3 linked regions of the Drosophila melanogaster genome follow. The protein of the gene in region 3 purifies or fractionates together with the protein of the main gene of each other region. This does not show direct contact. Each region holds a gene or a part of one and is shown on either strand. Other genes may lie near its edges. The genes, in order: Tti1, spag and lqfR.

The links.
Region 1: the proteins of lqfR (region 3) and Tti1 purify together in Drosophila melanogaster (affinity purification with western blotting; one study listed by BioGRID). This does not show direct contact.
Region 2: the proteins of lqfR (region 3) and spag purify together in Drosophila melanogaster (affinity purification with western blotting, with the first as the bait; one study listed by BioGRID). This does not show direct contact.

The regions. Positions count from the first base shown.
Region 1 is NT_033777.3:9,748,130-9,758,313, forward strand, and holds Tti1 (Telo2 interacting protein 1), read right to left. Parts: upstream 6,558-10,184; 5' UTR 6,453-6,557; coding exon 6,268-6,452; intron 6,210-6,267; coding exon 5,711-6,209; intron 5,652-5,710; coding exon 4,551-5,651; intron 4,502-4,550; coding exon 3,426-4,501; intron 3,369-3,425; coding exon 2,987-3,368; 3' UTR 2,959-2,986; downstream 1-2,958. Other genes in the region: PpD3 (protein phosphatase D3), read left to right, coding at 89-272, 483-724, 781-931, 997-1,118, 1,177-1,447, 1,512-1,962, 2,019-2,100, 2,156-2,215; Rpt3R (regulatory particle triple-A ATPase 3-related), read right to left, coding at 6,769-7,442, 7,491-8,034; Alg12 alpha-1,6-mannosyltransferase, read left to right, coding at 8,750-8,875, 8,936-9,068, 9,127-9,300, 9,367-9,520, 9,574-9,945, 10,005-10,184.
Region 2 is NT_033778.4:24,155,564-24,164,018, forward strand, and holds spag (spaghetti), read left to right. Parts: upstream 1-3,820; 5' UTR 3,821-3,907; coding exon 3,908-4,063; intron 4,064-4,116; coding exon 4,117-4,394; intron 4,395-4,453; coding exon 4,454-4,662; intron 4,663-4,724; coding exon 4,725-5,308; intron 5,309-5,365; coding exon 5,366-5,651; intron 5,652-5,715; coding exon 5,716-5,807; 3' UTR 5,808-5,940; downstream 5,941-8,455. Other genes in the region: speck, read left to right, coding at 241-414, 1,334-1,486, 1,551-1,985; CG42568 (uncharacterized protein), read right to left, coding at 2,218-2,550; DnaJ-60 (DnaJ-like-60), read right to left, coding at 2,799-2,967, 3,029-3,357, 3,411-3,522, 3,582-3,625.
Region 3 is NT_033777.3:22,408,089-22,420,160, forward strand, and holds lqfR (liquid facets-Related), read left to right. Parts: upstream 1-3,212; 5' UTR 3,213-3,496; coding exon 3,497-3,549; intron 3,550-4,560; coding exon 4,561-4,762; intron 4,763-4,821; coding exon 4,822-5,191; intron 5,192-5,272; coding exon 5,273-5,369; intron 5,370-5,431; coding exon 5,432-6,189; intron 6,190-6,454; coding exon 6,455-9,222; 3' UTR 9,223-9,714; downstream 9,715-12,072. Other genes in the region: CG13855 (uncharacterized protein), read left to right, coding at 1-111, 168-432; CG13850 (uncharacterized protein), read right to left, coding at 582-792, 852-921, 975-1,249, 1,311-1,560, 1,624-2,334, 2,398-2,575; Nop56, read right to left, coding at 11,150-12,072.

The sequences.
Region 1 (10,184 bases), about 13 Mb from region 3:
GAAAGTCATTATACCATTTGGTAACACTGCCTTGAACATTTTCAGACAGTAAATAACTTTAAGAAAATCATTTATTACAACAAAAAAGATGTCTTCGTCCGAACTGGAAGTACAGAAGGCTGCTGATTGTCAGCAGGAGGCGAAGGTGCCGGCAAGCGTGGAGATTACGGGGTCCAAGCAGCCGGAGGAGGACACAAATGCCCGTACGAAGGCGGAACTCGATTTTGCCGCGGCGGAGCAGTACAAAAATCAGGGAAATGAAATGCTCAAAAGTAAGTACCTCTGGCAATCACATAGGCCCGTAATGACCACGATTAGTGTCCTTCGAGCAATCCATTCTGTGAGTGCACTTTACCAGTGCCACCTTCAACATAACCTTAAAACAATGGCAAACTTTGGCTGTGTGTGATAATTTACAAGTCTGCCGGAACCTATGGGGGTATAATTATTACCATTACTCACCCTTTGGTCTATTTCCATAGCCAAGGAGTTCTCCAAAGCCATCGACATGTACACCAAAGCCATAGAACTGCACCCCAACAGCGCGATATATTACGCCAACCGATCCTTGGCGCACTTGCGCCAGGAGAGCTTTGGTTTCGCACTACAGGATGGTGTTTCGGCGGTAAAGGCGGATCCTGCCTACCTTAAGGGTTACTATCGCCGGGCAGCGGCTCACATGTCTCTGGGGAAGTTCAAGCAAGCCCTTTGTGACTTTGAATTCGTAAGTAATCCCCGGCAGCACCTTGGGACCTCCACTAAACAAAAATTTCTTTACAGGTAGCCAAGTGCCGGCCGAACGACAAAGACGCCAAGCTTAAGTTTACCGAGTGCAACAAAATTGTCAAAATGCGCGCCTTCGAACGGGCCATTGCTGTGGATAAGCCCGAGAAGACGCTCTCAGAGATGTACAGCGACATGGAAAACATAAGTAAGTGGCTTATATTTACTCTATATAGACGTAGAGATTTACTTGCTTTTGCCAACGTATTGCAGCTATTGAGGATGACTACAAGGGTCCGCAGCTGGAAGACGGCAAGGTGACTCTAAAGTTCATGAAGGAATTGATGGAGCATTACAAGGCACAGAAGCGATTGCACCGCAAATTTGCCTACAAAGTATGCGTGTAACCCCCAAGCCCAGCAGACCTTTGAATACTTATACAATTTGTTTCAGATACTCTGCGAGATCGACACGTATATGCGAGCTCAGCCCTCGCTGGTGGATATCACTGTGCCGGATGAGGAGAAGTTCACGATTTGTGGCGACATTCACGGTCAATTCTACGACTTGATGAACATATTCGAGATCAATGGTCTGCCCTCTGAAAAGAATCCCTACCTGTTCAACGGCGATTTCGTTGACAGGGGTTCCTTCTCTGTGGAGTGTATATTTACGCTGTTTGGTTTCAAGCTGTTGTATCCTAATCACTTCTTCTTGGCGCGCGGTTAGTTTTTTTTTCTGTTCAGATGTAGAGATGTTATTTATAACATGCTTCAAACATATTCCAGGCAACCATGAAAGCATTAACATGAACCAAATGTATGGATTCACTGGCGAGGTGACAGCGAAGTACACCAGCGCCATGGCTGACATATTCACGCAAGTTTTCAACTGGCTGCCGTTGTGCCACTGCATCAACCAAAAGATCCTGGTCATGCACGGCGGGCTCTTCTCCACGGAAGACGTGACTCTGGACCATATAAGACGCATCGAACGAAATTGCCAGCCGCCCGAGGAAGGTCTTATGTGCGAGTTGCTGTGGTCCGATCCTCAGCAGTGGATGGGTCTCGGTCAGTCGAAGCGAGGCGTGGGCATCCAGTTTGGTCCGGATGTTACCGAGAAATTCTGCAAAGACAACAACCTGGACTACATCATTCGAAGCCACGAGGTTAAGGATATGGGCTATGAAGTGGCTCACAACGGTAAATGCATAACAGTCTTCTCTGCTCCGAACTATTGGTAAGCCTACACATTTGATCCTTAAACTTTAGGTAATCTTTTACCTTTTTTTGCAGTGATACTATGGGCAACATGGGCGCATTTATTACCATTACGGGTAACAATTTGAAACCAAATTACAAATCATTCGAGGCTGTGGTAAGTACTAAAAAACAACTTTATTCGGGTCAATTCATTAGCGTAATCTTTTCAGCCACATCCCGACGTCAAGCCCATGGCCTATGCCAACAGCCTAATGAACTGGCTGGCGTAGTCAGTTTCGCATTAACTTCAATAGCTAAAACATACTCCCACACAACACATACCAATTTACAAACAGCTTGAGAACTTACAATCGCAAGACAGCCCAGCTTACAATGATCAAAGGAGAGGAAAAGGATTCGAAGATGCTCAATAGACTTATGCACACCGCGAGCTGCTTCACTACTTAAGTACGAGTATGGCGAGTCCATAAGGCGTAGGACGAGTGGAGGACGGGGAAAGGATCAAGATCACAAATACAGAACAGCAATCATTTTATAAATTCAGCTATATTTGATACAGAACGAAATGTTATAGTGTATTGTGGCTTTAGAAGTCGGATGCTAAGTTTTATCGGTGCCAAGCATCTGGGGTTCCACTTGTAAGTAAAAATTGAAAGAAAATGTTTGTTTATGCATAGCATTTAGTTATGGCTACCAAAACATAATATACGATTACATATATACAATTTTTCATCAATTTTGTTTGTTCCGAACGCTTTATTTGTGTATAAAACCCCAGTTTTGTTCAAAAACCTTGCCTTGTTTATATTTTATAAAAGTCATTTCAATAAAACTATTCAAGTTAGATACCTCAATAATAATCCCATACATTTTTTTAATCCAATAACTATTGCCTACTCTCCGGGCACAAACAAAACAGTTCTGATCAAAATATTCGAAACTGCATTAAAAGACACCTAGCTTAAGAGCCTGTAATGTTAATCGAGTGAACAGAAATCAGAATAGAGCAATTGTGAAATAAAAAATCGGTCCGTTCTTTATTAACCAAGATCTCGTCCACTAGCTATGCTAAAGCCCATGACCTCGAAGATCTGGTTAACATTAGCCTGATAATCCTGAAGATGGGCCCGCTGCAACAGCGTAACGTATACGAAGGGTCCATTGTAAGAAATAAGCTGGAGGAAGAACGCTCTGGCCGGCGTCTGTAGCTCTTGCGGCTGTATTTGTGATAGGTATATTACCACCGTGCTCATGATCTCGTGCAGATGTCTTCCCTCTATCTGAAGACCGAGTATAAAGTCCGCGAGGCTCTTCAGCAGCTTAAGCTGCAGTTTGTACTCCTGAGTCTGCGCTTGCGAGGTCTCCGTGCTGCTGTGCAGGGATGCTGTCTTCAGGAACTGCTTTAACTGGGGTATCACATCACTGAAAAGCACAAGGATAGGGTAAAAAGATCTAGTTATCCTCGAAACAGTGACTTACCTAAGGCTGCGTTTAAGTATAAAGTCCTTGGCATGAACGCCTAGCAAGTGCAGCAGGGTGAAGCATCGGTTTAGCACCAATGCGTCCTTTTGGCGGAATTTTTCGATCAGAGGTTGCCACACTAGATGCACTAATGGCAGCAGCTCGTCCTCGTAGTCCGCCAGTAATGGCAGACCACTGGAGAAACATTCCAAAGCTGCAATCTGCTGCCCCTGATCGGCGGTGGAAATGAACTTGATTACTTGACCTAGTATATCCTTAACCATTTCCACGTGGCGCGGAAGCACGGGCTTCGTGGGTTTCTCTTCCGTGTCATCCGCATCGTCGGCTTCATCCTTTGCCGGCTCCTCGGCGTCGCCCATGTTGGTGTCGCCATTCAGATCTTTCAATAACTTTGGCCTCTCCAGCACACTCATCCACGTGCTTAGGACATTCTGCTCCTCATCCACTTGCATCGGCAGCTCGGTATCAACCTCCGCCGCAGCATCATCATGCCAATCGGAAACATGATTCAGGAATGATTTGAAGACGCGAAGATAAGAGTGCACGTTGGTTGTCTGGTGTGATTTGGAGCACTCTTCGCGTATAGTTTGGAATAAGCTGTCCAGGTGGGGCACATTGCCGCGTGTGCTGTACTGCAACACGACGGTGAGGATGTCCACGGCGGCCGTGCTATCTGGCGATCGTTTTAGCAACGCGTTTAGGTGAAAAGTGATGTAGTCGGTGGAGCATTCGATAAAATGTGAGGGCTCCGCATATTTAAGAGCGTACTGCATGGAAACGAAGGCGAAACTGGCCGCTTGATGGACGATAGTGTTACTGCTAGCCACCTTGAGAAGCACTTTGTGTAGACTTAAAAATATATGCCTGTCGAAGGTATCACCAATAAATCTGGCACAGTGACCCACTGCATCCAAAATTAGGCAGGTGTGCAGAACATTAAACTGGGCGTCTGCAATGGTCACCCGACTACCGACCACCTCCGTCTGCTCGTCATCAGAATCGCAGTCCTGGGTGCGTACCTCAATCGCCGATGAATAGATGCCAGGAGTACGGTCCTCAAACCAATGCGTGGGCTAAAAAAAATTATAGTACACATTGTACACATATAAAATCCATTCTCACCTTGTTGACCTTAAGGCGCCACGCCGAGTCCGGCTGAAGGGCCAGGTTCCAATGCTCGTCTCGAAGGATCTGGTCCAAGAAAAGTTTAGCCAGCACCAGTCGACTTCCCCGCGCCTTCTTCTCCTGCGGCGTTACCATCAGTGTTAGAAGCAGCACACACTCGTTCATGGATGGTGACCTTTGCTGAATCATCTCCTGACAGTAATCAAATACAAGTCGATTTATTGTTGGCTCAGTACCCAACAGGGCTCCAATGTCATATAGGATATCAACTGTACGCCTTGAGCTTAGATACTTGAACTGCCTCCAAGGCAGTTTGGCCAGTTCGGCGGCCAGACCTTTGGAATCACCTTCTCGAATACGTCGAAGTGAGTATTCCTCGTTGAGAAGGTCCCTGGTTGGCCGTTGATCTAGTGCTGTCAACAGACAAGTGACGAACATCTCCAGATTTTTGGGAACTAGCAGCAATAGCTGCAATTTATCGGTGTTGACGTTGCGTAGGAATCCTTTGAAGAACAGAAGCTCGGCAAACTGTTCGTTGTCCTCGCAGCGATGCAGTATGCGTGGCCATTTATTGAGGTGTGCATCTAGCAGCATCTCCGCATTCTCATCGAATATGTCTTGGCTGCTGGCCTGTTGTTGCAGCAGAAGTAGGGTGTCCCTGCACCGCTGGGCTATCTTCTCATTCTCGTCCTCTGACAGAGCCAATACGCTCTCTAGTACATGGAGAAAGTTTCCCCTCAGATTGTAAGCACAATGTTTTAGCAACAGGCAACACATATCGGAGTAGGATTCCCTTACCCGTATTGCGCTGTGAGTCCGTAGAATACTCATTTCGGCAAATATTGGTCGAAGGTGCCTCGAAGTGGCGGCCACCCACTGATGCGAACGAAGCTCCGTTTGCATTTGATGCAATCGCTCCTCATTCTGTTCTGTAGTAGCCTTCTTGCTGGCAAAAAAGGTGAAATCGCATTGATGAGCCTCTTCGTTGTTTTTGAACAGTTTGCGGAAGGCATCTCCATCGTAGCGCATTTTTATAAACTCATTAGTGGTCTCCTCAAACATTATGCAAATAATGCGTCCCAGCGCTTGAATTGCCATCTAATTATAATATTTAAATCAATATAAATGAAGTTATACAAAACCATCGAAAAACTCACCGATTTTATAGTCTCTCCCACCTTGTCATCTTTCATTGATGTTTTGAACAGCACGATGAGTACCTTGGGAAGGAATATAAATATGGTATTGGCTACCTGACTACGCAGGACAACATCCACTTGATCGGATTCGTCATGGACATAGAAAACCATCATCAGACACTGAATGGCTGTCTGTACGAGTTTTCGATACTTTTCCTGTTCGATGATTTCCAAGAGCATGATCAGTATCTGGCCAATAACCATCGCAGTCTCCTTAACGTAGAAAGATTCCACCACATCAGTGGTGGAGCGACGAAGTGCCTCGAATATACACTGAACGGCTGCCAGTTTGATTTCCTCGGAAAGGTTTGGTCGCATGGACGCTGTCTTGGAGTCGCGTACCTGTTGCAGCACCACCACCAGGATGGAACGCAGACCCTTCTCATCGGCCAGGTATGTTTTGGAGACAATGTTGCTTAAGCAGTTCATCAGGCTGGTGCGAAGTTCCTGGTTTTCTCTGCGGAAGAGACAGTCTTCTCTGAAGTCGAAAACCCAAGCGGAGCGGAGCCACTTACCCGGTTAGCTCATCCAGTTTGACCACCAGTGGCACCACCGTTTGCACCTGGTAAATGCGCATTTCTCCAAAGTTGAATCCCTCGATTGCGCGCTCCACCACCGACAACGTGTCCTTGCTGGGCTCCTTGATGAAGCCTTCCACCGCTGGCTTTATCTTCGTCACATACCACTCTAGATGCATCATCGTGGCAGCAGTATTCACTAACCAAATAAACCCAAAGCGAAACCCGGCAAAATCCGGGAAGAAGTTTTGAACCAACAGCTGTTCCGACAGTCACATGCAAACGCGCGCGTTTTCACCCCCGCCACCCACAATCGCTATCGAAGTCTATCGGTTATTTTGAATTGCGCGCCAAGCCGCCCTTAATTTTGATTTTCTTTTATTTAAAGCACCAGTATTGACTAATATATTTCGAAGTTTCAGGATTTTGGTAAACTCGGGATTGGCTTTGTTAAATACTACAAGTTTACATATTCAGATTGTATTTGAAATTAATCATCTAGCTATAGAACTCATGCTGAGCTTCGTCCTTGCGCACGCTGGTCTTATAACCCTTTTCGAAGTCCTTGGCATTGACCACATAGCGATTCTCGCGCACTGCATGCATACCAGCCTCTTGGCAAATGGCATTGATATCCGCATTGGAGATCTTGTCCGGACGTGCAATGATGTCCTCCAGATCCACATCCTCACCCACATTCATTTTCGAGGTGATTGTGGTGAAAACTAAGCGCTTCTGGCGACGATCCGGCAATGGTAACTCAATTTTCCGATCCAAACGGCCGGGTCGTAACAGAGCCGGATCTAAGGTATCTGCACGATTGGTGGCCATGATAACCTTAATGTTGGTGGTCTCATCAAAGCCATCCATTTGGTTGAGTAGCTCCAGCAGGATGCGCTGCACCTCGCGATCAGCACCTGTCTGTGCATCAAAGCGCTTGGTGGCAATCGCATCGATCTCATCAATGAAGATAATTGAAGGAGAATTCTGCTTGGCCAGGCGGAAAAGATCTCGCACCATGCGTGGCCCCTCGCCTAGGTATTTCTGGACGAACTCGGAGCCCACGACACGAATAAATGATGCAGTTGTATGATGGGCCACCGCCTTGGCCAGCATGGTTTTGCCACATCCAGGTGGTCCAAAAAGGAGGACGCCGCGTGGGGGATCGATGCCTGGAAGAGAATTAGTGGAAATAGTCTTTTGATATTGCGAATACCCACCAATTTGCTTGTAAAGCTGGGCGTGGGTCAAGGGCAGCTCGACAGCCTCGCGTATCTCCTGTTTCTGGATGTCCAAGCCTCCAATGTCGGAGTAGCTGATATCCGGTTTCTCATCCGGCGATAGCATCGATATGGTGCTGTCCGCCTCCGGTGGCACCAGATCGACCAGACAATTGCTTTGCTTGTGCAGCCCAACCGAAGAGGACGGCTTCAGTTGCTCCCTGTCAATGGTGGATAGCACTCGAACATAGTAATTGGATCCGGTGGTGGAGGCCACTATGCCGTTGTTTTCATCCACCGCCTCCAGAAACTGGCCAATGACCAGAGGCACGGCTTTTATGCGCTTAACTTCCTCCTGAGCGTGTATGAACTCCTTCTTCAGATTGCGTTGCTCCTCCTTGATATAATCCTCCTGCACCTGGATGAGCTCCAGCTCCATCTGAAGCTTCTTATATAGTACATACAGATCATGCGGATCCAGTCCATCATACTTCTCCAGCGACTGCTCGTGAAACTGGGCAATTTCCTCCTTTAACAAACGCATTTTCGTCTTATCCCTGTGGAGATTCGATTCGAAGTGAAAGGCAATGACACGAATTTTCAAAGGCTAAAGCAGGTTATCGTAAAAAAAATATCGATAACTGTTAACAGGATAAGAATGGCAATACTAAAAAAGCTTCAATACATGAGCGTAACCAGAAACAATTATTTAATACTTATTGAATGCGAAGTTATGATATATTGTATTTTCAAACTATGTTGATTAAGCCCGATCGATATATAAAAATTATACAATTTCTAAAATGATTTTTAACGCTCCTTCGAAACTTTTCGCGTCGCCACGTGAATGGCAATCAGCTGTTGAACCGACCTGTTGTTTTTCTTGGATTTGTTTTTGTTGTGCTTGCTTTTCTGCCTCCGACGTGGAGCGATCTATTTATATATCTATTTTGGTTTATTTTGGAACCACAAATTCTCTTCGGCATAGGAAAAATATATATGCCTAGGCATTGACACTTTTTGTGAGACATTCAAACACTTAGTCAAAGAAAGGTGGCTAGATATCGACATTGTGCAACGCCGGCTTCGATTGGGAAATCTTCGTCAGATACCATCGCGCAGAAATTTATAGATTTTCCAACGGACTAGAATATATAGATATCGGTGTCAAAACAAATATGGCCATTATGTAACGCCCCGATTCCTGTCCAGCACACTTTGCACACCAGCGACACCCGACAGCCAAAACCGCCCGCAACATGGACATCCTAATCTTTGTGACGGCGGCGGCCCATTTGGTCTACACGCCCTTTACGAAAGTGGAGGAGAGCTTCAATCTCCAGGCCATGCACGACATTCTTTATCTGCGAAACAACTTTACGCAGGTGGAGGACAAAGGTTCCCCAAACCTCCTGCCAGATCACTAATATCTTTCTGAATTTCAGTACGATCACCATGACTATCCGGGCGTGGTTCCACGCACCTTCATCGGCCCATTGGTGGTGTCCATTATCTCAGCCCCGTTTGTCCTGCTCTTCGAGACCCTTAGCATCAACAAGTTCTGGGCCCAATATGTAGGTAAAATCAGCATTTCAACTGCCTATTTCGGAGTGTTAATTGATTATGAACCCCTTAGTGCGCCTTGTCTTGGCTGGGGCCATCTCTGTGGCCTGGAACAGCCTACGGCAGGCGGTGACAAAGATTTACGGAGTTGAGGTCCGCCTGTGGTTCACAGCCATCACTATTACGCAGTTCCACTTCATGTTCTACATGACTAGGCCTCTGCCCAATATCTTTGCCCTGCCGATAGGTAAGCCAAGTTGACGGTCTCTGCTATGCTATGTACCCAATATTATTAGACTTTTTCTTGTTGCAGTGCTCTTTGCCATTGCCTATTGGCTACGCGACCAGCACAAGCCATTCATCATCTGCTCTGGTATATCCATTCTCGTCTTTCGATCCGAGTTGGCGTTATTTTTGGGTATTTTGCTGGTGGTGAGCCTCCTACGGCGAAAAGTTTCCATTGACGGGTGAAGATTATCAATCATTGCATACTATTCAATGCTAATATTTGTAAAAATAGGCTACTCAAAGTTGCACTGCCGGCGGGCGTCTGCATTTTGGCTGCCACAGTGCTGGTGGACTCGTTCTTTTGGCGCCGCCTGCTTTGGCCCGAGGGTGAGGTGCTATGGTACAACACCGTACTCAATAAGAGCTCCAACTGGGGTACCTCGCCTTTTCTATGGTACTTTTACTCCGCCCTGCCACGTGCCATGGGTGCATCGCTGGTGCTCGTGCCCATCGGCGTCGCATTGGAGCCACGTATTCGGCCATTGGTCCTGTCGGCTCTCCTCTTTGTCCTTTTGTACTCCATTCTGCCGCACAAGGAGCTGCGCTTCATCATCTACGTGTTTCCAGTTCTCAACATTGCTGCGGCTTGCGCATGCCAACGAATGTAAGCGTCGTATTATTTCATTAGTAAAATGCATTTCTATTATTGGTTTCCTCGTTTAGTTGGATGAACAGCGCCAAGTCAACGTGGCATAGCTTTCTGGCGCTCGCCTGTGGAGCCCATCTCCTGCTAAATGTCTTTATAACGCTCTTCCTGCTTGTCATTTCGGGCACCAACTATCCGGGCGGAGCAGCCCTCTCCCGATTGCATCGCTTGGAAGCTGGCACCTCAAACGTTTCCGT
Region 2 (8,455 bases), on a different chromosome or scaffold from region 3:
ATTTGAATAACATGGTCGGTGGAAAATGGATGTGGAAATGGAAATGCACGGGTTCGCCATCCATGAGCTGCGAAATATACAAAACAAATTAAGCTGCCTTTCATCTAAGAGCCATAAATAATAATGTTTCCTATGCGCCGCCCGACTTTCCTCCGACCGCCCATCCATACATCTAAGCATCCAACCATCCCTCCATCCATCGAAAGTATCTGAACGATTTGTTTTTCTGGCGCTTTGCAGCTGAACGACTTGTATCCGATCGCCCGGCTGACACAGAAAATGGAGGACGCATTGACCGTCTCTGGGAAGCCAGCCGCATGCCCCGTCGACCAGGACTGCCCCTACACCATCGAACTGATCCAGCCGGAGGATGGGGAGGCGGTGATAGCCATGCTCAAGACCTTTTTCTTCAAGGTAAGTGCGCTCCCGCCCATCGTACATTGTATTATAATCAGGGGGCTGCTTGGGAGATTGGTGTGCATATCGTAGGAGCCAATCAAGCCGAACACCTGGCTCCGGAATTTATAACCGCTTGCCGAATAATTTGAATCGAAAGGCGGCGCACAAAGGTGAATTTGAATAGTTTCCAGCGAATTTCAATTAGCTGCGCGTTCGTCTTAATTAGGCTTTAATTCAGATCGAAATTCGCACACTAAACTTGAATTAATGCGTGTTGGCCAATCCCTGGGAATTCCAGCCTCCGCCGGGAGCTTGCCCCGTTTTGGGGCATGTGGAATCTTGTGGAGTCCGTCCAGTATTCGGCTGTCGTGAGATGTCTTGACATGATCCATGTCACGGCTAGCTTTCAGCTGGTCTTGCATCACGACTCTTGGCGATCTGAATCTCAATCTCAATTGGAATCTGAATCCAATGCGCTCGCTTGATCTTGACTGGATCAGGTTCCAGTTCTCGATGGGGCCGGCCAATGAGAATGCTCCCTGCACAGACCCAGACCAATTGGGCACTCAAGACCTATATTTATACATATGTACATTGCATATACATATGTACATATGTATATACTGCATATTGATTAGTATGCATGCCACGCCCGCTGGCCACAGCCGCCCCCCTCCGGCGTTGAGATGTTGATATGCAAATCGAGTTCCGTTCGCCATTCCCCAGCTGCCTCCATAAATTATTGGAAAATCTTTAGCCGATGCAATGCGTGCATAAATCACTTGAATTGCCGATCAATTGCACGATCGTGTCGCCTAATAGCGCCGCCAATTTGTTCGGTCAGCAGATCCCCAGATTGACGAGCAATCGGATCCAAATGGGTGGGCCAGTGCACTGATGTCTGAAATCTAATCCGTTTTCCTATTCCGCACAGGATGAACCGCTGAACACCTTCCTCGACCTTGGCGAGTGCAAGGAGCTGGAGAAGTACTCCCTGAAACCGCTACCCGACAACTGCTCCTACAAGGCGGTCAACAAGAAGGGCGAGATTATCGGTGTGTTCCTAAATGGACTTATGAGGCGTCCGGTAAGTGAACCCATTAAGTATGATATGAATGATGCATGACTTATTGTGCTCCATCTATGCATAGTCCCCCGATGATGTGCCCGAAAAGGCGGCCGACTCCTGTGAACATCCCAAATTCAAGAAGATCCTCTCGCTGATGGACCACGTGGAGGAGCAGTTCAACATCTTCGACGTGTATCCCGACGAGGAGCTCATCCTGGACGGCAAGATCCTGTCGGTGGACACCAACTACCGGGGCCTGGGCATCGCAGGCCGCCTGACGGAGAGGGCGTACGAGTACATGCGGGAGAACGGCATCAATGTGTACCACGTGCTCTGCTCCAGCCACTACTCCGCCCGGGTGATGGAGAAGCTGGGCTTCCACGAGGTGTTCCGCATGCAGTTCGCCGACTACAAGCCTCAGGGAGAGGTGGTCTTCAAGCCGGCGGCCCCGCACGTGGGCATACAGGTGATGGCCAAGGAAGTGGGTCCCGCGAAGGCGGCGCAGACCAAGCTGTAGACGATCTGAGTTCGGATTTTGTACTATCGTATGTGATTCTTTAGTTTGTAGTTCGGTGGCGGGTTCCCAGTAGTGTATCAACGTTCGATTCAGCGTAGTGTAAACAAACAGTACAAGTTACGTATTTATCTAATTTAATCTTCCCGTCGCGACGGTAAACTTAAGTGTTTTGTGTTTAGAACGAGCTCAAAATAAAACCTTGTCTTAATAACATAACCGACTGGACAACAACTTAGCCCCTGCTGGCACGGCGGGAGTTCGACTTCCTGTTCTTGCCGGAGCGCTTGGCCTGGCTCCGTTTGGCCTGGGTCTTCTTGGCGTTCAGTTTCCGGTTGCTCCTGGTCCTGGAACTACGGCTGGTGCTGCTGGCGGTGGTGGTGCCCACACGGATCTTCCTCACAATCGAGTACGTCAAGTTGGACAGGTACACTTTCTTGGGCGTGCTGGACGAGCTGTAGGTGGGACTGGTGGAAGTGGAGGAGGAGTTCTGTGAACTGGAGAAGTCCAGGCAGCAGATCACGAGCACCACGATGCACAGGGTGCCGATTTGAATAGTTGACTTCATGTTGGTAGTAGGATTGCTTTTAATATGCTTCGATGGATGCGGCCGGAGTGCTTAAGTAGTCGCCCTGGTTGTTTGCACAGTTTGCTCAATCGCCTACGAAGGCCGACGAAATTGTTTAATTTTGGCAAAACACACTGGCGCTTAAGCAATCGCTCTTGAGTTTGCTTTGCCTTGAACCAAAACAAAATATTCAAAAATAGCTATATGCTTTCACGTTTAATTTGACCAAAGGAAATGGGGAAATGGGATTACTTAGCCGAAGACTGGTTGAAAGGACTCCGCGACATACGGTCCACCATACGACGCACTTGCTCCTCGTTGCCGTACTTCTGGGCATCGGCCACAACGGCGGCATGATGGGAATTAGCCTCTGCTGAGATTTCGTCCTGGATCTGGCGACTCAGTTTAAAGGACGACCTGTTGGGGATGGTGAAAGTTCAGTGTGACTACTTAAATTCTCTGGTTCATAATCATTAACCTGACGGAGGTGAAGCCAAAGAGTGCCCCGACGAAGCCTAGGGCCATCAGAACCACGGCCACCTGCCAGTTGGAGACCCTCTTCAGACCACGGATGCCATAGTACGGTCCTGGATTGGGATCGTAGTTGGGCCTCACATCCCACGCCTGGCCGGGATTGACCGTCTCGCCAACGGGACTGCGGTCCGAGCGCGATGGCTGCCACAGCAGGCTGTCATCGTAGTCTCTCCTCCGCTCCGGCTTTATCAGGGTCTTGTACGCCTCGGAGATCTGAACAAATCGGGCTGTGCGCTCCGGACACGCAGCATTGCTCTTAACATCTGGGTGGTACTGTGGAAAGGGCAGGGTTTAGGAGGCTCCTTTGGAATCTTGGAGTTACTTACCAATTTGGAGAGCTGGACAAAGGCATTACGGACTTCACGGGTGCTGCAATCATTGCGAATATTCAAAACTTCATAGTGTGTTTCGGGTTTTCTTGGTTTGTCGTTCGAGAAACTGCGCAATAGGCAAACATTTACTTTACATAACAAGTTTTATAGACGTAAAGTCCTTACTTACGCACATATCCAGCTCGAGTTGGAAGGCACAACCTTAGCATTGTGAGCTTTATTAGTATTATTTGTGCTGATCTGTCGGAGAAAGCATAATTTTAAACTAGGACTTTCAAAATAAAATCAAAACACAAAACAGCTGATTTGAGGGCCTTACTCTGGCAATCCTGGCTGGCCAGCTACAAAAATAGAGTTGGCAGCTCTGTTCGATGAAACAGCAACTCAGTTGAACTATCGACAGCGAGCAGTGCTGCCAGACTGTCGGAGCGCTAGCAACAGAAATAACAAACATTTAATATTTCTTTAGCCACTTGACAAGGCAAATCAATATGAGTGCACAGGAAAAAGCCTTCGAACTGCAGCGCCAGGTGCGCCAGAACGCGCGGGAGTACGAGAACTCCGTGAAGGACTTGTACTCCTGGGAGCAAGACATTAAAAACAAGGAGAAAGAGCTCCAGAAGTCGCCGCTTTCTGCCGCCAATAAGGTTAGCTTTAAATTCTTTGGTATTAACAAGTAAAGCTCACACTTTCAATGCAGGATCTGCCAGTGCGCAGTCATGTCCAGACAGACAAGTCGCGGAAGGAGAGCCCATCCTCCTCGGCGGCCAGCTCACCCACGGAGAAACAGGACTTGCCAGTGGATCCTGTGGCCCAGCAGTACAAGAAGGCCAACGACATCAAGGACCGTGGAAACACCTATGTCAAGCAGGGGGAGTACGAGAAGGCCATCGTGGCCTACTCCACTGCCATTGCCGTCTATCCCCACGATCCCATTTACCACATTAACCGGGCACTGTGCTACCTAAAACAGGAGAGGTAGGACTGTTTAGAATGTTCTCGATACTTCTTCCTTACATGCATATTTATCCTTGCAGCTTTGATCAATGCGTGGAGGACTGCGAGGCCGCCATTGCGCTGGATAAGCTCTGCGTGAAAGCTTACTACCGGCGAATGCAGGCCAACGAGTCCCTGGGCAACAACATGGAAGCCCTGAAGGATTGCACCACTGTGCTGGCCATCGAGCCGAAGAACATCGAGGCCAAGAGGAGCCTGGCCAGAATCAACGACCGTCTGCGCAAGATTGGTAAATATAATTTTGATTACCTAGTAAGCATATTTTAAGGCTTTTCATTGGCATCCTTACAGCCACCAAAAGTGGGCCAAACTTTACACCCGATCGTCCTGGCATGATTGAGATCTTGCCAATCGAGAAGCCTGCTTATAAACGCTCCAAGAAGGCAATGCGCAGTGTTCCCGTTGTAGACGTGGTATCTCCTCGTGCTACCATCGATGATAGCAACCAACTACGCATTTCGGATGAGGACATAGATAAGATATTTAATAGTAACTGCGGCATAATCGAAGAGGTCAAAAAAACAAATCCAAAGCCGACGCCAATGCCAGACACATCAGGTCCACCCAAAGCTGAGACCATTGCTAAGACCTCCAAAGAAGTCAAGCCTACCAAACAGACTGCGGTTAAAGTAGCTCCAGCTGTGGAAACCCCCAAAGAAACAGAAACACGCAAGGATACCAAGATTGTGCCTGAATCCGATAATGAGGCCAAGCCAAGTGCACCCAAAAAAACGGCTGTCGAGGTCCCCAAGGTTCAGACTCAAGTTTCTCCACCAAAGACCACAATAGAACGCAGCCCAGAAGTCAATACCGTGCAAACTGAAAAAATTGAACAAGCTTCGAGCAACAACGCAATGTCACCCAGTCCAATAGAGGTAGGTTCGCTTAAGATCAAAGCTGAATTATTATTAAACCAATTCTCTATGATTTAGCGCTTCTTACCGCCCGCACCCACGAGCACAGCACAGTTCCATGTGACCTGGAAGGAGCTGAGTGGTCCGCAGAAGTACCAATACCTAAAGTCCATTGAAGTCCCGAATCTGTGTAAGATCCTGGGAGCAGGCTTCGATTCGGACACGTTTGCCGACCTGCTGCGCACCATCCACGACTTCTTTGTACCAAATAAGGAGCCAAACACAGCAGCTGTCTTGCTGGAGATCAGCAAAAATGACGAATTCACCATTTTGGCCATGCTCATGTCCGCAGAGGAGAAGAAAAGTAGGTGACAAAACTTTTCTTGCATAATTTCGTTTGCATTTCATGTACTTTCCCCTTTTCACAGTGGTTTCGTCTATCCTCAACGCCATCAAGAACTGGCCCAGCAAGAATCCGGCTGTGCTGGACAACCTTTTCAAGGAATACGGAGTAGCCTAAACACCCAATGTTTTATGTTAAAATGTACTTATGTTGCTTCAAATTGTTAGCTCCAAAATCAACTAAAACAACAAAAATGTTTAAAATATAAAGAGGATTTGTAGATAGGATCCCAAAACGTTACACAGAATGCGAATGATTGAATGTGTTTTGTTCAGCGTTTATTAGATACGCTAAGATGCTCACTAGTTACACATGCTGGGAATATCTCAAAGTGACTCATGTTTTTTAGCCTAGTATAAGCCGAAAATTCCATATGCAGAAGACCATTTGAGCAAACAAACCGTTCTTGCCCGACCAGACCATGAATATTGAATAACCAATTGAGTAATACGAATTAGTGTAATTTACATAAATCAGCGCATTAATTCAATCTGCGAAGCCACCTAAAATGGGCCTTCCAGCAAGAACAACAACTCCATTAAGCGACGTTAAGTTGGAAGCGCTGATGATCAGTCGGCTTATCCGATCCGTGCACATATCATTACAGCGAAACCACAGCCAGGAGCACCAGGAGGGGCCCCCAAAGCAGGAGGGGCATCTCGCCGAGAACCGCGCACCACCGAGGCACCCGGGCGGCCCACTAATTGCGTGAGAGCTGGTGCACTAAGCACAGGGGCCGGGTTTTACTTTAGCCCATTGTGCCGCCGCTAGTTATAATTTAATTTACATTTTTCTTAACCAACGCTGGCTGCGATTTATCAATTTCTCGCCGCGAGAGAATTCGCGAGAGCGGCTTCCTCCAGGGTTGCCGCTCCATTTGGCGCCCGGGGAGCTGCAAGTCGAGCTGGATCCGATCTGGATGTACTGCTTTAATGTCTTCACCAGCTAAAAATGTTTCTATAAAATGTTTATATGCTTGTATAGAAAATCAATCATATACGATCATATAATCATATAATCCTGATACGAATGCCACATAATTTTGATACAAGTTCAAGCTATGTGTTTATATTTTCGATAAATCCCGCCCAGCTAGCGTTCCAGCGAGCCGCAAGCTCCAAGCTGCGATCTCCGGGCGCAGTGGCAACCCCCGACAGAGCCGAGCTCCGGAGAGACCGATTCCGAGTCCAAGCGAACGAGGTGGAACGGGAATCGAGCGAGCTTGGGGCTATCGCTCATTCGAGATTTGCTGTCGAACCGACTTGGTGCATTCGCTCCGCGGATCCAATATCGCGGTTAATCGGGGGAATCGAGAGAGGCGGCTAGTTGGCGCGACTTTAGAGTCAGTGCATCGAGTATACGGAGCGTAAAACACCGACTATAACCGACATCGACACAGTGAAGCTACAGATTCGTAAACAATCCCAGTAACGCCGATTCGTGCGAGTGTAAGTGGGTGTGCCAGTGTGAGTGCGACTAATTTAAAGGCGACTTTAGCTAATCCCAGATCTACACTGATCGCAAAACAACCGCATCCCCTCCGCCTCCGCGCAGTGATCCAGTGTCTTAGCCAATGCATTTAAAAGCCATGCTGGTAATTACGCAAATTCTGTGCAGAAAAGCGAGTGAAACATGTGCGATCGAGTGAAGATGAGAGTGAAGTGGCGATTTCACTAGCGTGAAAAGTGCTTGGGCAGCCACTGTGGCGTATACGTAACCCCCTAAACCGGCCAAAATCCGTGCACTACCGCACACATCTCTATAGATCTGTATCTGTAAAGCAAGCAAGACAATGGGGGCCCAGCCTCCTCCCACTGAAAAGCCAAATGGCAGCTCCCCCCGCTTCGTTCGCCGGAGTCGAAAAACAATAAGAATGCGGCACAAACGGGTTTTTATTCTGCATTATTTATCGCTTCTGTTTGCCGTCGCCAAGTGCACGTCTTCATTCCATTAGTTCGATCGTTATGCTCTCGCTAGCCGGAGATTACTCCGATCGGAGTTTGGAGATCTGCGATCTGAGATCTGCTACTATATCTTCGTCTCAGCCTGTGCCAAGCACACAAAACAGCAAAAACTCACGAGAAGATCGGCAAAATAAAGGCAAACAGCTAAAACGTGTCCCATAGCCCAAAAAGACACTCGCGACGAGCCATCGGGCCAAGACATAAACTCAACCGGTTGGTTTGCTTTTCGAGCACCAGCCACAGTAACAGAAAAAAAACACAGAAAAAACAGTAAAAAAAAAAATAAAAACAAAAATCAGTGAGGAAACACACCTCACCTCCCCCATAAGGCCCACGAACCCAAGAGCAGTATGTAAAAATTCAGAAGAAATGAGTCTGGCAAAAACGCGCCGAGATACTTATAAATAACAGTCTAGATGGCCAAGAAGGCGGGTGATTGGGATATAGGGGGATGGGGGGGGCTGTTTAGCATAGTTTATTTTGGCGCTAATGGGCGGGGGAGGAGGGAGCAGAGATCCGGCTAACTGGAATCAAAGCCGAAAAGATGCTAAATATGCGATCAATAACAAATAAGAAATAACAAATGGAATATTCCATGCCATCCCGATCGGGCACCGACTTTCTTTTCTCGCATCCGCCACATTTGCATTCCAAATGAAATCCTACGAGCGCACTCCATTTCCAGTTCGATGATGGGTTTCGGTCTGACCACCGTGCTACGAGCACACCGTGCTGACTCAGCCACTTCCACTGACGCACTTCCGACCAGGGATCTCGCACCCCACGGAGCCACATAGATGC
Region 3 (12,072 bases):
CACCACATCCTTTGCATTTGTAATGCAGCCAGATGATGTTCGCCACATCATAGACAAAATATGGCATGGACATTCGGCTCTAAGCAAGACAGAGAATCTCAGTGAACTAAGGTAACCCCTTCACAATGAAGTGTTTAAAAATCAAACGTCAAATATATCTATTTCAGATTACCGCGTTGGAACAAGAGCGATGACTGGGCACCGTGGAACTGTATTTGCCTGACGGAACGGGAGACGCGAGATCACTACAAGATCGATGACATTGAGAAGGTGTATGATCCCAAGTTCGTTCTGCACATCGGTAATCTTCACATGCTGGCTCGCAGCCTATTCCACACCTTAGCTGCTGTGGCCACCGAGTTCCAGGAAACGGGCCAATGGTGGAAAGTGGGCATGAACAAGCAACGTTCCAGTAAACTGGATGCCGTCTAAACTATGTGGTTAAAATGACTCCCAGTAACTCACCTTTCGAAATTTGGGTTTAGCTTGTAATTCAGCGCCTAATTTAACATTTACAAAATTTTAACAATTCAAATATTGATCAATCATTACAAGAAAAATTAAATAAACTATAACTGCAATTATTTGCTACTTGCAATCGCCTTGAACTTTGACTCCAAATACTGAACGCGTTTCAGTAGTTTGTCACTGGTGCTGAACTCATTATAGGGCACGGGAATAACGTGGTAACCACTCTTCTCTAGCAGATCAAATGTCAGATTCGTAACGCCGCTGCCACTGCGATGCGTTCCGTGGCAAATGTCATGGAAATCGATGACCATCAGCGCCACCCTGAAATCAAGTTTCATTCATTATAATCAAGTTAATTTATAAAACGTGTAATAACTTGCCTTATTGCATTCGGATTTTCCTTGTCCAAAGGCAGGGGGTTTTTGTTAGCATCAAAATGGCACAGTGCATCTGAAACGACAGTTAATCAGGAATATGGTACACATTAACAAGGAATATCTTACCTATAAGGAAGCCCATTTTAGTGTCTACAGCAGTTTGTAAATGATTGCTGGCCGGCAGCAGACTTTTCAGGGCATCTAGCATTCCATTTACAAGCACTTGCTTTGCTTTAGGATGAGCCATGGGCACCTGATAGACAGGACTGTCAGTGGGCAATAGTGGACCCTTGTAATCTGTGGCTATTAACTGGGCATAGCTATTCAAGTTGAGTAGCCTCATTTTGGAGGTAGCTGTGACACCAGCTTTGTCCTTTTTCAACGTCTCTAGGAAGTCCGCACTGAAAGTAATTACAAATTTAAGTTTTAATTCCAGATTTTCAAGCGTTTCAAAGAACAAACCTCAAAACAGAAGCCAAGTGGCCGTGTTCTACTAGACCCAACATTGTTAGCGACCACACAAAGCTCAACCACTCGGATTGCTTGGTAAAATCCTCGCGGACAATAGACTTTACTAGCTTTTTGCTCACTTCCTCCAATTGAGCGCTTTTGAAGTTTAGCAGGGCCGATGTTAGGAAATAGGCACTGAGATCTTGGGGGCGACAGATTTCACTATTCTTTAAAAGCCACTGCGTAAGTGATTCCAAGATATCTACCGAAAAAAATAAATTACATTAATCACAACTTTTTCTGATGTGTTTATATCCGAGCTAACCCAAATCCCGGTATCGTAAAATGCCCAGGCTGGTGATAATGGATCCCACAACGGCAGACTTCTCCACATTCTTAGGCAGCGCCGATTGCACATCCGCACACACTTTAGCGCCTAGAACAGAATCCTGGAAATTCAACGTGGACATAGCGAACAGCACATCCCCCGCTTGCTTTAAATCCAGCGATTCCGACGCGCTGCTGATATTAAAGGCCAGGGAGCGCAAGAGAGGAGTACTACGCCTCTTCCGCTGGGCCAGGGTGCTCATCACCTTGACCATCTGGGGCAGACTGATGCTAGCTATCAGCTTAGCGGCCTCATCGTCACCAGCTACGCCAAGCACCGTGTTTAGGTCATCTGTTCGGAAGCCGGAAATCCGCTTGGCCGTCCCATTGTCACCAAGGTCCTTGTTGTTAGCATTATTATTTTTGGGAACCGTCCGGCCCAACATCCGGCAAATACGTAGGAACCTTGTGTCGTTCTCGAATTCCGAGATCTTTACTCGATTCAAGGTGCTCCACTCGGCCAGTATGGAGACAATTCTGAGGGCATGCTTCCTCGAGAAGCCATTGTTGTTCTCCGTGATAGTTAGCAGTCCATTGACTGTCTTTGCGTTGATGATACGCTCATCGATCTTGCTGGAGGCTTGGCTTTTGCTCTCATCTTTGGGATCGTCGTTTCTAAGGGATTCGAAAGCAGCGGCTACCATGTGGCCTGCAATAAGGATGGAGTGAATACCAATTAGTAAGGAGGACAACAATTTTAGAATCTACCTACCCCTGGGCTTTTTGGCCGCCTCCTCCACAGCCGGCGCGCGTGCTTCCGGCTCCACTGCATCCGATTGTGCTCCAGTGGGCGCCACGGGAATGCCCGCTGCCCGGACACTGCTGCTGAAGGCTGCACGGCGGTACAACTGGGTGACAAAACTGCCGGCAAAACGTTGTAGTCCCAACATTTTCAGTCAATCCACACGCTGCAAGAGACCACAGAAGTTTACATAACCTTTTTGTTTACATTTTTAGCGGCCAGGAAGGGGCTTTACAAAGCATGCCAATGATATAGGCTTATATTCATGACTTGAACCGTCTTATTTCCCCTGATATCCTTCACGTTTCATTTAGTATTTTCATTTATTTTAGTAAACTTTCCTATTGAACGTTGAGAATCCACAGATGACAGCAGCGTTCAGCTGATGGTAGTGTAGGGTAAGACCCGTCGGCTCCATGCAAAGCTTTTGTAACACTGCGAGCTGTGCTGCCAACTCAGCATTTTCTAGCTAGATCTGGCGTTTTTTATTCCGGAACTTAGGTGTCATTGCATGTGCTTTCGGTTATTTGGTAAATGCTTCCAATTTTATTACTATGCCGATTTCTCTTTGTGCTTTATTAATAAGAAAACTAATGTTTTATTGAACTATTTCGGTTATTGGTAAATGGTTCCCATTTTATAACTATGCCGATTTCTCTTTGTGCTTTATTAATAAGAAAACTAATATTTTATTGAACTATTTGGAGCACAAATTTAAAAAGCTAATTTTCATTAATAACGGCTACAGCTATTTATCGGATTTAGCTACACTTGAACAGTGAGAGTTGGAAACACTGTTTGCAACACTGGACACGACAGCTCACCAAATATTAGCTGCTGTGATTTTGTTTTACAATTTTCGTTTAAATTTTTACATTTTTGTTTGCGGAAAGCGCGGGTGCGAGACAGGTGCGCCGTTTCCATGCAAAAGTGCAAATCGTCAGCTGCAAAACAGTCAGAAAACGGCACGCCAAGCGAAAACGAGTTCGACGTCTTGTTGTAGTTGGATTTTCCAGCCACTTTTCGACGAGATTGTGTGAAAAATTCCGTAGCATTCAATAGTCTCAAAATGGTGGATAAATTCATCAGCATGTGGAAAGTGCGCGAATTGGCGGACAAGGTGTAAGTGATCAGGAATATATAGGATATATCCATACGTATATGTAATGGGATGTGTGTATAACATTCCCTTAACGCCGAAGTGAATGTTAAGACTCCCACGCCCCAAGTTTTCTGATTTCCCGCCACGCCCCCAACTCCTCAAGGATTTCAAAAGCCCTATGTCATGCATAAATCCCTAATAATTCATAAAGATATCTTACTTATGGATCAACTGCATCGGGGTGCTGGATTAGGTTCACGTTTTTAACTGCTTTCAAGGTTGTTCGCCATTTCAAGAGAGCTTTACCAACACAGCCACATTCCGATATTGATATCCATGTGTATATGCGCCTGTGTGTGTGGGGCTTTATCAAGAAACAATTTGTTTGCTTTCGACTGCCCAAATATAACAATTTTTTCACCTGTGTTAACAGCTCCACTTCCAGGCTTTCCAGTGAAATGGGTGTTTCTCTTTCCCCCATCGAATTATTAATTATGGGTGTCCCCTTTCACCTGCGCCTTTTATGGGGTAGTTATTTCTAAAAGCGAGCCTATAGTTCGAATAAATAATGGTGGCTCGATAGCCAACACCGAACTCATTAGGTTAAGTGCGCGGGTACACCTTTCCTAGGGCTTATCTCGAACTGATAAGGAACACCTAGATGGCCCATTTGCGACAATTGGCCCACTTCCATCACGTTTCGAACGTCTATCAACGTCGCAGCCAAGCCATGCGTATTACTTATTTATCTGCATCTTTGCATTGTATATCCATATCGTCACACAACGTTTACTTAAAAATACCAGTTCTGATTAACTGGCCCTCTATCTATTTGATTATCTATTCAATTGAGTTTACGGAATGTCCCAGTCAATATGCCTTTTTTCTTTACTTAAGTATATATCAATTATTTAAGGAAACAAGCTCGGATTAAGATTTGTATTTACATATGTACAAAAGTTCTACGACTAACATCGTGAATAGTTAATAGTTACTTTAAAATAAAACAATGACTTCGTTCCCACTTGCAGCACCAATGTCGTGATGAATTACACGGAAACGGAGGGCAAGGTGCGGGAGGCCACCAACGATGATCCTTGGGGGCCTACAGGACCCCTCATGCAGGAATTGGCCTATTCCACCTTCTCATACGAAACATTCCCGGAGGTGATGTCCATGCTGTGGAAGCGCATGCTGCAGGACAATAAAACCAACTGGCGACGCACGTACAAGGTAACGTTTTCAGTTTAAACTAATAAATATAGAGCTAACGAGTATATATTTACTTACAGAGCCTCCTTCTGCTAAACTATTTGGTGCGAAACGGCTCTGAACGGGTGGTAACCTCCTCTCGGGAGCACATCTACGATCTGCGCTCGCTGGAGAACTATACATTCACCGACGAGGGCGGCAAGGATCAGGGTATTAATGTTAGGCATAAGGTACGAGAGCTTATAGACTTTATTCAGGATGATGATCGTTTGCGCGAGGAGCGCAAAAAGGCGAAGAAGAACAAGGACAAGTACATCGGCATGAGCAGCGACGCCATGGGCATGCGAAGCGGTGGCTACAGCGGCTATAGCGGTGGATCTGGAGGAGGCGGCGGTGGCAGCGGTGGCTACAATGATGGCGACTATCGCTCTAGTCGTGGAGACAATTGGTGTAAGTAAGAAATTTTTATTTTTTTAAGATTTTTGTTCAAATTCTCTATATGTAATATTAATATTGATGATTTTTCTTCAGACTCCGACAAAAGCGCCGACAAGGATCGGTATGAGGATGATGATACTCACTACGATGGAGAGCGAGAGGGATCCGATAGCGACTCACCCAGTCCAAGGCAAGTTTTCACTTTTCCGATTAACCTGCTCTATATCCTAATGTACTCTTTTCTCCTCACAGACGTAACTATCGATACAATGACCGTGCGAGTCCTGCCGAAGTAGCCAGCGAGGCCAAACCTTCCAGCCTCAACATGAACATTCGTTCGAAGACCGTCAGTTCCCCTGTCTCCAAGCAGCCCACTTCAACGGCTTCTGCCAAGCCAGCGCTGTCCCAGAAGAAGATCGATCTGGGTGCGGCAGCAAACTTTGGAAAGCCAGCTCCTGGCGGTGCTGCTGGCATTCACTCACCAACTCACCGTGACACTCCCACCAGCGTGGACTTGATGGGCGGCGCTTCGCCATCGCCGTCTACTTCCAAGGCAAACAATAATACGCAAAGCAATAACAACGATCTGCTGGACGATCTGTTCAAGACCTGCTCGCCACCGCCGGGGCAGGAGAAGACGCTGAACAGTGCTGCCGTGATTGTGGATGACGATGATGACTTCAATCCGCGTGCCAGCGATGCTAGCCAGCAGGAATTCGGCGACTTCGCCTCTGCTTTCGGGCAGCCCTCGGCGGGATCGACGATCAGCGAGCCACCATCAACGGGCCTGGTTCCGGCTGCGAACGATGAGTTCGCCGACTTTGCGGCGTTCCAAGGCTCGACAACGTCGACATCTGCGCTGGACGGTAATTTGCTGAAGACTGCCACGCCGGCGAACGATTCGTTTGACCTGTTTAATTCAGCTCCCACCTCGACGGCAGCAGCCACAACGGCTACAGATCTCCTGGCAGGCCTGGGCGATCTGTCCATTCACCAAAGCATGCCCATGGGTGAGTTGTAGTTTGATTCTTGTAGCTTAACATATTATTAAATTTGAAATAGTTTTAAGATTAGAGTAATTGCATTGGCCTTAGTCACTTCATGATATATTTAGGTATCGCTGCATGAAGGTGCGCCTTCCGAGCTTGACTAGAGCCGTTATCTCTACCTCGAGCTCCACAGCCCACACAAAGATACACTATCTCATCCTCCCACATATAAACGGCAACATTTTCCAATCGGATGCACTCGTTCTCTTCTCGTTCTCTCTCGTAGCTGTTGAAGAGCAGTTGGCATCCAGTAATGATTCGATGTCGTCGGCTTCCCCACAGCCACCATCTGAGGCAATGCGTCTAGCTTTTTCCAAGGCACAGAAGCAGCTGCGCGATTTAATGCAGGTCCAGAGCGCTTCAGCCGTTGCCCAAGTAGCAGCTATTTTGGGGGAACTGCATAACTCAAACGCACTGCCCGGATTTACCACACCTGAGCAGTTGGTTGGCCTCGATCGTCAGACGTGCGACTGGACCTGTCTTGCCCATGGAGAGTATGCCGCATTGCTGAATCAATTGACAGAGCTATTCAGCCAGGATTGGCCAGAGCCATCGCAGGATGTTGAAGTCGTTAACATTTTTAAACTGGATCACAGCTTTGATTATGTATCGGTTGCCTTTGAGTCGCTTCAGACTAGATTGGATAAGTTTCCCAGTACTATTAGTTCCTTACTGGAAAACATGGTTAAGGATGAGAGCCTAATTTCTATCGCCTTGCTGCACATCTCCCGCCAGAGAGCTTCCTTAATGCAGCGCTTTGCGCGGACCATCAAAGTTATGCCGGAAAGAAAAGTGGAGGAGCTGGATGCCCAGGTGAAAGCGTTCTTTCAATTGCTAATCAGTCTGCCAGCCCAGGTGGCCAATCGACTGGGTAGAAGACTGCCAGAGACGTTTGCTCCAGTTTCTTATCAGAAACTCCTGCTGCGCCAGTGGCTGAAATCCTTGCACTTTGTCCTACAGTGCGATGATAATAGGGAATACTTTGATTTGGAACCGTACTCCTGGCTTTTGTCACAGGCTATTAACCTTATTTACGATGTTTCAACTTTGGAAAGCCTCCTACGAGTACTTAAGGACTACGCGGTGGCTCCCAGAGGAAGAAAAGTAGTTCATACCATATTAAAAGAATTGGATCCCGCTGCTTGCCTAAAAACAGCACAATCGGCTCTTTCTGCGGGATTGAACCTGTACGTTCTTATAGGTGCTGCCACTTTGGAGACACCTCATTGGAAGCATTGCCTGCTCCAGAAGTTGCCTCTTCAACGCACACCCGTGGATAATAAGCAGCTTATAACATTGGCCAGTTATCTTAACGCCGTAGCTCCTGCTCAACTGCAGGTTCTTTTGAATCAGTTGCTTGGAATCTGGTCGAAGCGCATTTCCTTGCAGAAACTGGGCAGCCAAGAGCACTTGGCTATATCCAAATTGCTTGTGTTGGCGGCAAAATGCCTTTGTGGGAATCTTGTAATGGATTTGAACATCCAGCGTCAGCTCCACGATGGACTCAGCAACCATTTGCAGTCCCCAGATGCACTGCAGCGTCATGTGGGAATGAAGACCGTGGAGCTAATTTTCAATTTTATTGCCTTGCCTGATGCGAAGGAGGATGATCGTCTACGATTTGAGTACGATTCATTTAAGGATACATTTCATTGGCACATCTTCGAAGAGTTTGATGAACTTGGCCAGTTTGAAAGCCCGAGCAAAACTAAGCTAGATGAGAAGCCTTGTGAGGATCAGCTGAAACAATTAGAACTTCATCTCAGTGACTTTATGAGTACTACAGAGCAGAAAGAGCCGCATAAGCCGAATATTGAAATACAAGCGAATCCCGCTCCCGAAAATCAGAATGTAAACATGCAGCTGGACTCGGATGACGACGAGCCACTGGATGAAGACGACGATGAATTGAAACCCTATGACATGTCCAACGATACAACCACCACCATTGATCAACGTCCCAAATTCGTCATCGACTTACTGCACTTGCTCCGAGAAAAGGTGGAGAATTATCAGGTGTTCGAAGGAGCCTTGGGCACAGCGGAGCAACTTATACGGGGTCAGCTGGCCAAACATGATACTCAGTTGGCCTTGGATCTGCTACAACTTTTCTTGGTCATGGAAATGCAGTTCTACTATGAGCAATTCGAACGTACGCAATTTAAGTGTTGCGTGGCCATTTGTGTGGCTCATCCTGGTCCCTGTGCCGAGTACCTATGCCGCCAGTTCCACACGGATAACTCCTTCTATTCGGCCAGTGTCCGTATTCTGATCCTTCAGGTACTGGCAGCAACGGCGAAAGAACTTTCTGGCGATGAAAACATGCAGAATGAGATGGAAATTGTGGATGTTATACCACCGGCAGCCAAGCATCCCCGAAAGTTCGAATTTCAACAGGAGGAGGAGAGTCCGGCCGCTCGTCTGGCCGCTGCGCAAAGGATCATCCGCGACCGGCTGCGGGCCAAGACGAAGAGATATTTCAGCAAGCCCAAAGCTGGAGATCAAATGGAGAAGGCCAACCCATTTCACCCCGTTGCCGGTACATTTTTCTTCAGTTTGGTGAGGGGACAGCGCACCCGTCAGATGCTTTACGTAAAATACGAAAATATTTCTCACGACATCGACACCCAGTTGCTTGTTAACCTGCTAAACACCATGTCCGTGTTGGTTATGTGCTCCCAGAACTGTCCACTGTTGCCAGCGATGACCCGCGAGATCTTTGACCTATGCGCCTTTGTGCGTTTCAATGCCGAGGCCCGCGTCCGAGCGGCCACATTGCAGCTAATAGGAATCGCCTTGGTAACCACACCAGCTCATGTGCTGGCCCAGCACTTTGCGGAGTCATTGAACGAACTGCAGCGCTGGCTGAATGACTTCATAAGATCGCCATTGGTGGGCGGAGAGACTTCGGAGGAGTGTCGTGAACTGGCCCAAAGCATTTTGGACACCTGCTACAAACTCTTTGATACAGCCGCCATGGAACAGGCTGCCTAACTTGGCCATCAAAAAGTTTTGAAAGCAGCCTATAGAGTTTTAAGAGATTTAAAATATTAAAACTGTATTTAAAATACACTAAGCATATTTCTTGTTACGGAAAAACGAACAATTTTTTACTGAAATATTTCCGAATTAATATATGATATATATGATTAAATACAAGATTACTTCATACTTTACATCAATTCTCATACAAACGTTAACGCTGTGTCCTTAAACATTTTCTTATAATTGTATAAACTAATAATAGACTCGAGAGTTAGGTATTTGCTAGAAATAAGACAACAGTTCTAGGAATTATTTTTTAAATATCTATCGCCCTCGAAGCCATTGTATTCCAGGTATACATATATGGATTTACTTCATTTATACTACTTTCTTTTGTTTATTTGTTTTTCTCCTACTGCATATTTGTATTGCAAACCACACACACATTGGATCCAATATTATTTCTCAAATATATACATACATATGTACTTAATAATGATGAATTGAAAAGCATTTCTCAATATTCCGGGCATTGTGCGGCCTCCGCAGCCACGGACTCATTAGGTAAACCAATCCAAAACGGCAATAGCCACATAACAGATACGAACCTATTCTTTCCTTCTGTAATTGCACTTGATTTGCTGCGCAAACGCTTCCGAGTAGTGACCACCTCATTAGCCGATCACCAAGTAGCCGCATTCGCAATTCTATCGAAGCCACATATTTAAAACAGCTTTTTGTGAAACCAAAATAAAAACGAAAACTGAAACCCCGAATAACATTATTATTGCATTTGTTTTTTTCCAGACAATATGATGCCTCCCATTCCCGCCGTCACGGGCAATAATCTGCTCCAGCCCATGTCGGTGACCAATAATAACAATAATACCAACGGAGGCGCAGTCCCCGCCGCTGCCAGTGTCCAGTCTACCGCTGTGGGCGCCACCTGGTCGGGCGACCTGAAGGGCGGCAAGATGAACATTGACCTGGACAATCTGCTGATGAGCAAGTCGGGCAAGCCCAGTGCCCCGGCCCCTTCGATGAATGCCCTGAAGACCAACAGTCCGGCAAAGGCGCCACTGAATGTGCAGACGGGTGGCGGATTCCCTGGACTGTCGCCAATGACCAGTCCGAACATTTTTGGGGCTCCGGCACCGCAGCAAAGCATTCCACAAAACCAATCAGCATTTGCCAACTTTGGAGCTTTCCAGCAGCAGCAGCAGAATCACAGCAATAATAACAATAATAGCTCGTCGGCATTCGACTTGTTTCAATGATATTTTTTAGCCTAATTTAACCCAACCAACCTACTACCCAAAATGTCCACTCTCACATTCACATTTCCACGATCGCTAAACTTGTCAGTTCTATATATTATTTACGTTTTCCTTTCCCCTTGCTGTACAAAGTTTGCGACACGTGCAATTTGTTTCTAAATTCGTTGTTAAACAATTTACCCCCGATGCAATTTTCCGGATCAAACCCATTAATTCCACATCCGTCCTGATCGTCCACTCGGAATTTGAAAGTCGTCATCAAATGCAATACACAGAGTAGTTGAATAATGGTTGTACTAAACGGATTCGTTAGCACAACGCGCGGACGGACGGCTGAGCGATCCAACATTGAAATTGTTAAACAAAATACTACACGTAATAAAATCAAACAATTTTAGCAATAGTTAACGTTACGATGTGTCTGTATATAAATTGAATGTAAAGCAAATATGAAATATAAAACAATTGAAACCAATAATTATGATAGTCTCTTGATTTAAAACGCAAACTCATAAAATTCCGGTGGGAATACCCTCCAAAGTATATGTTTATTATTATTTGAAATGCGATCCATCAGGGGGTCAAAGGAAATACAAAAGAAGCATGTAAGTAAAAGATAATAGTGTGGACTTAAACTAAGTTGAATGTAACAGAGACATTTACGCCTCCACCGCTTCCTTGTTTTTGTTCTTCTTTTTCTTCTTCTTCTTTGGCTCTCCATCATCGTTGCCATTGCCATTTTCCGCCTCGGCGGCTGCTCCGTTTCCATTACTGGCGCCATTCGTCTCGCCCTCGTCTTCAGCCGCTCGCTTCTTCTTTTTCTTCTTTTTCTCGGACTGTACAGTGATTGCCGCCTCTTGACCAGCTGCCTCGATGGCCTCCTTCATTACCTCAATGTTCTTGCGCGGCACATCGCCGGACTCGTAGAACTTGAGGCGATCTTCGACCTGTTGCTTAAGAGTTTCGCCAAACACGCTAGTCGGCTGTTCCAGGAAGCAATCGATACGCGACGCGATGGAGCACTTGTTGGCCAGGAATCGAGAGATGCGACCCTTGTTCTTCAGGCCAGCTCGACCAATGAACGAGGAGTGATAGATAAGACCATACTTGGGCGTATTGGAGCGGGTCTTTAGAGCACGGAAGAGCGCCTTCTCGGCACCCAGGATTTGTACTGTAGATGCTGGGTACTTGGCCAGATTAGTCAAGCTGCCGGCATGCGATATCAGGCGGGCACCGACCTGGTCGCCAATCAAAGACTGCAGATTGGGTGCCACCAAGTTCATCTTGTTGTGCAAGTAGGTAGACAGTTTCTTTCGGTACTCGGAAAGCTTGACAACGCGCTCTGCGAACAGCTCAATGTTCATCAGATCAACAATGGAGATGTCCATGCCCATGGACATCTTGGCGGCATCAATGATAGCCTGAGCCTTGGCGGAGTCCATGACGATCTTCTCAAGATCCTCCAGCTGGTCTTGCGTGAGGTTCTTGCGATCCTTGATGAACTTGGCCGCCTTGGCGAACATGTAATTGTCGGGAACGATTTTGACCAGTTCTGGGAAGTGATACGAGTACCACTCGCGTA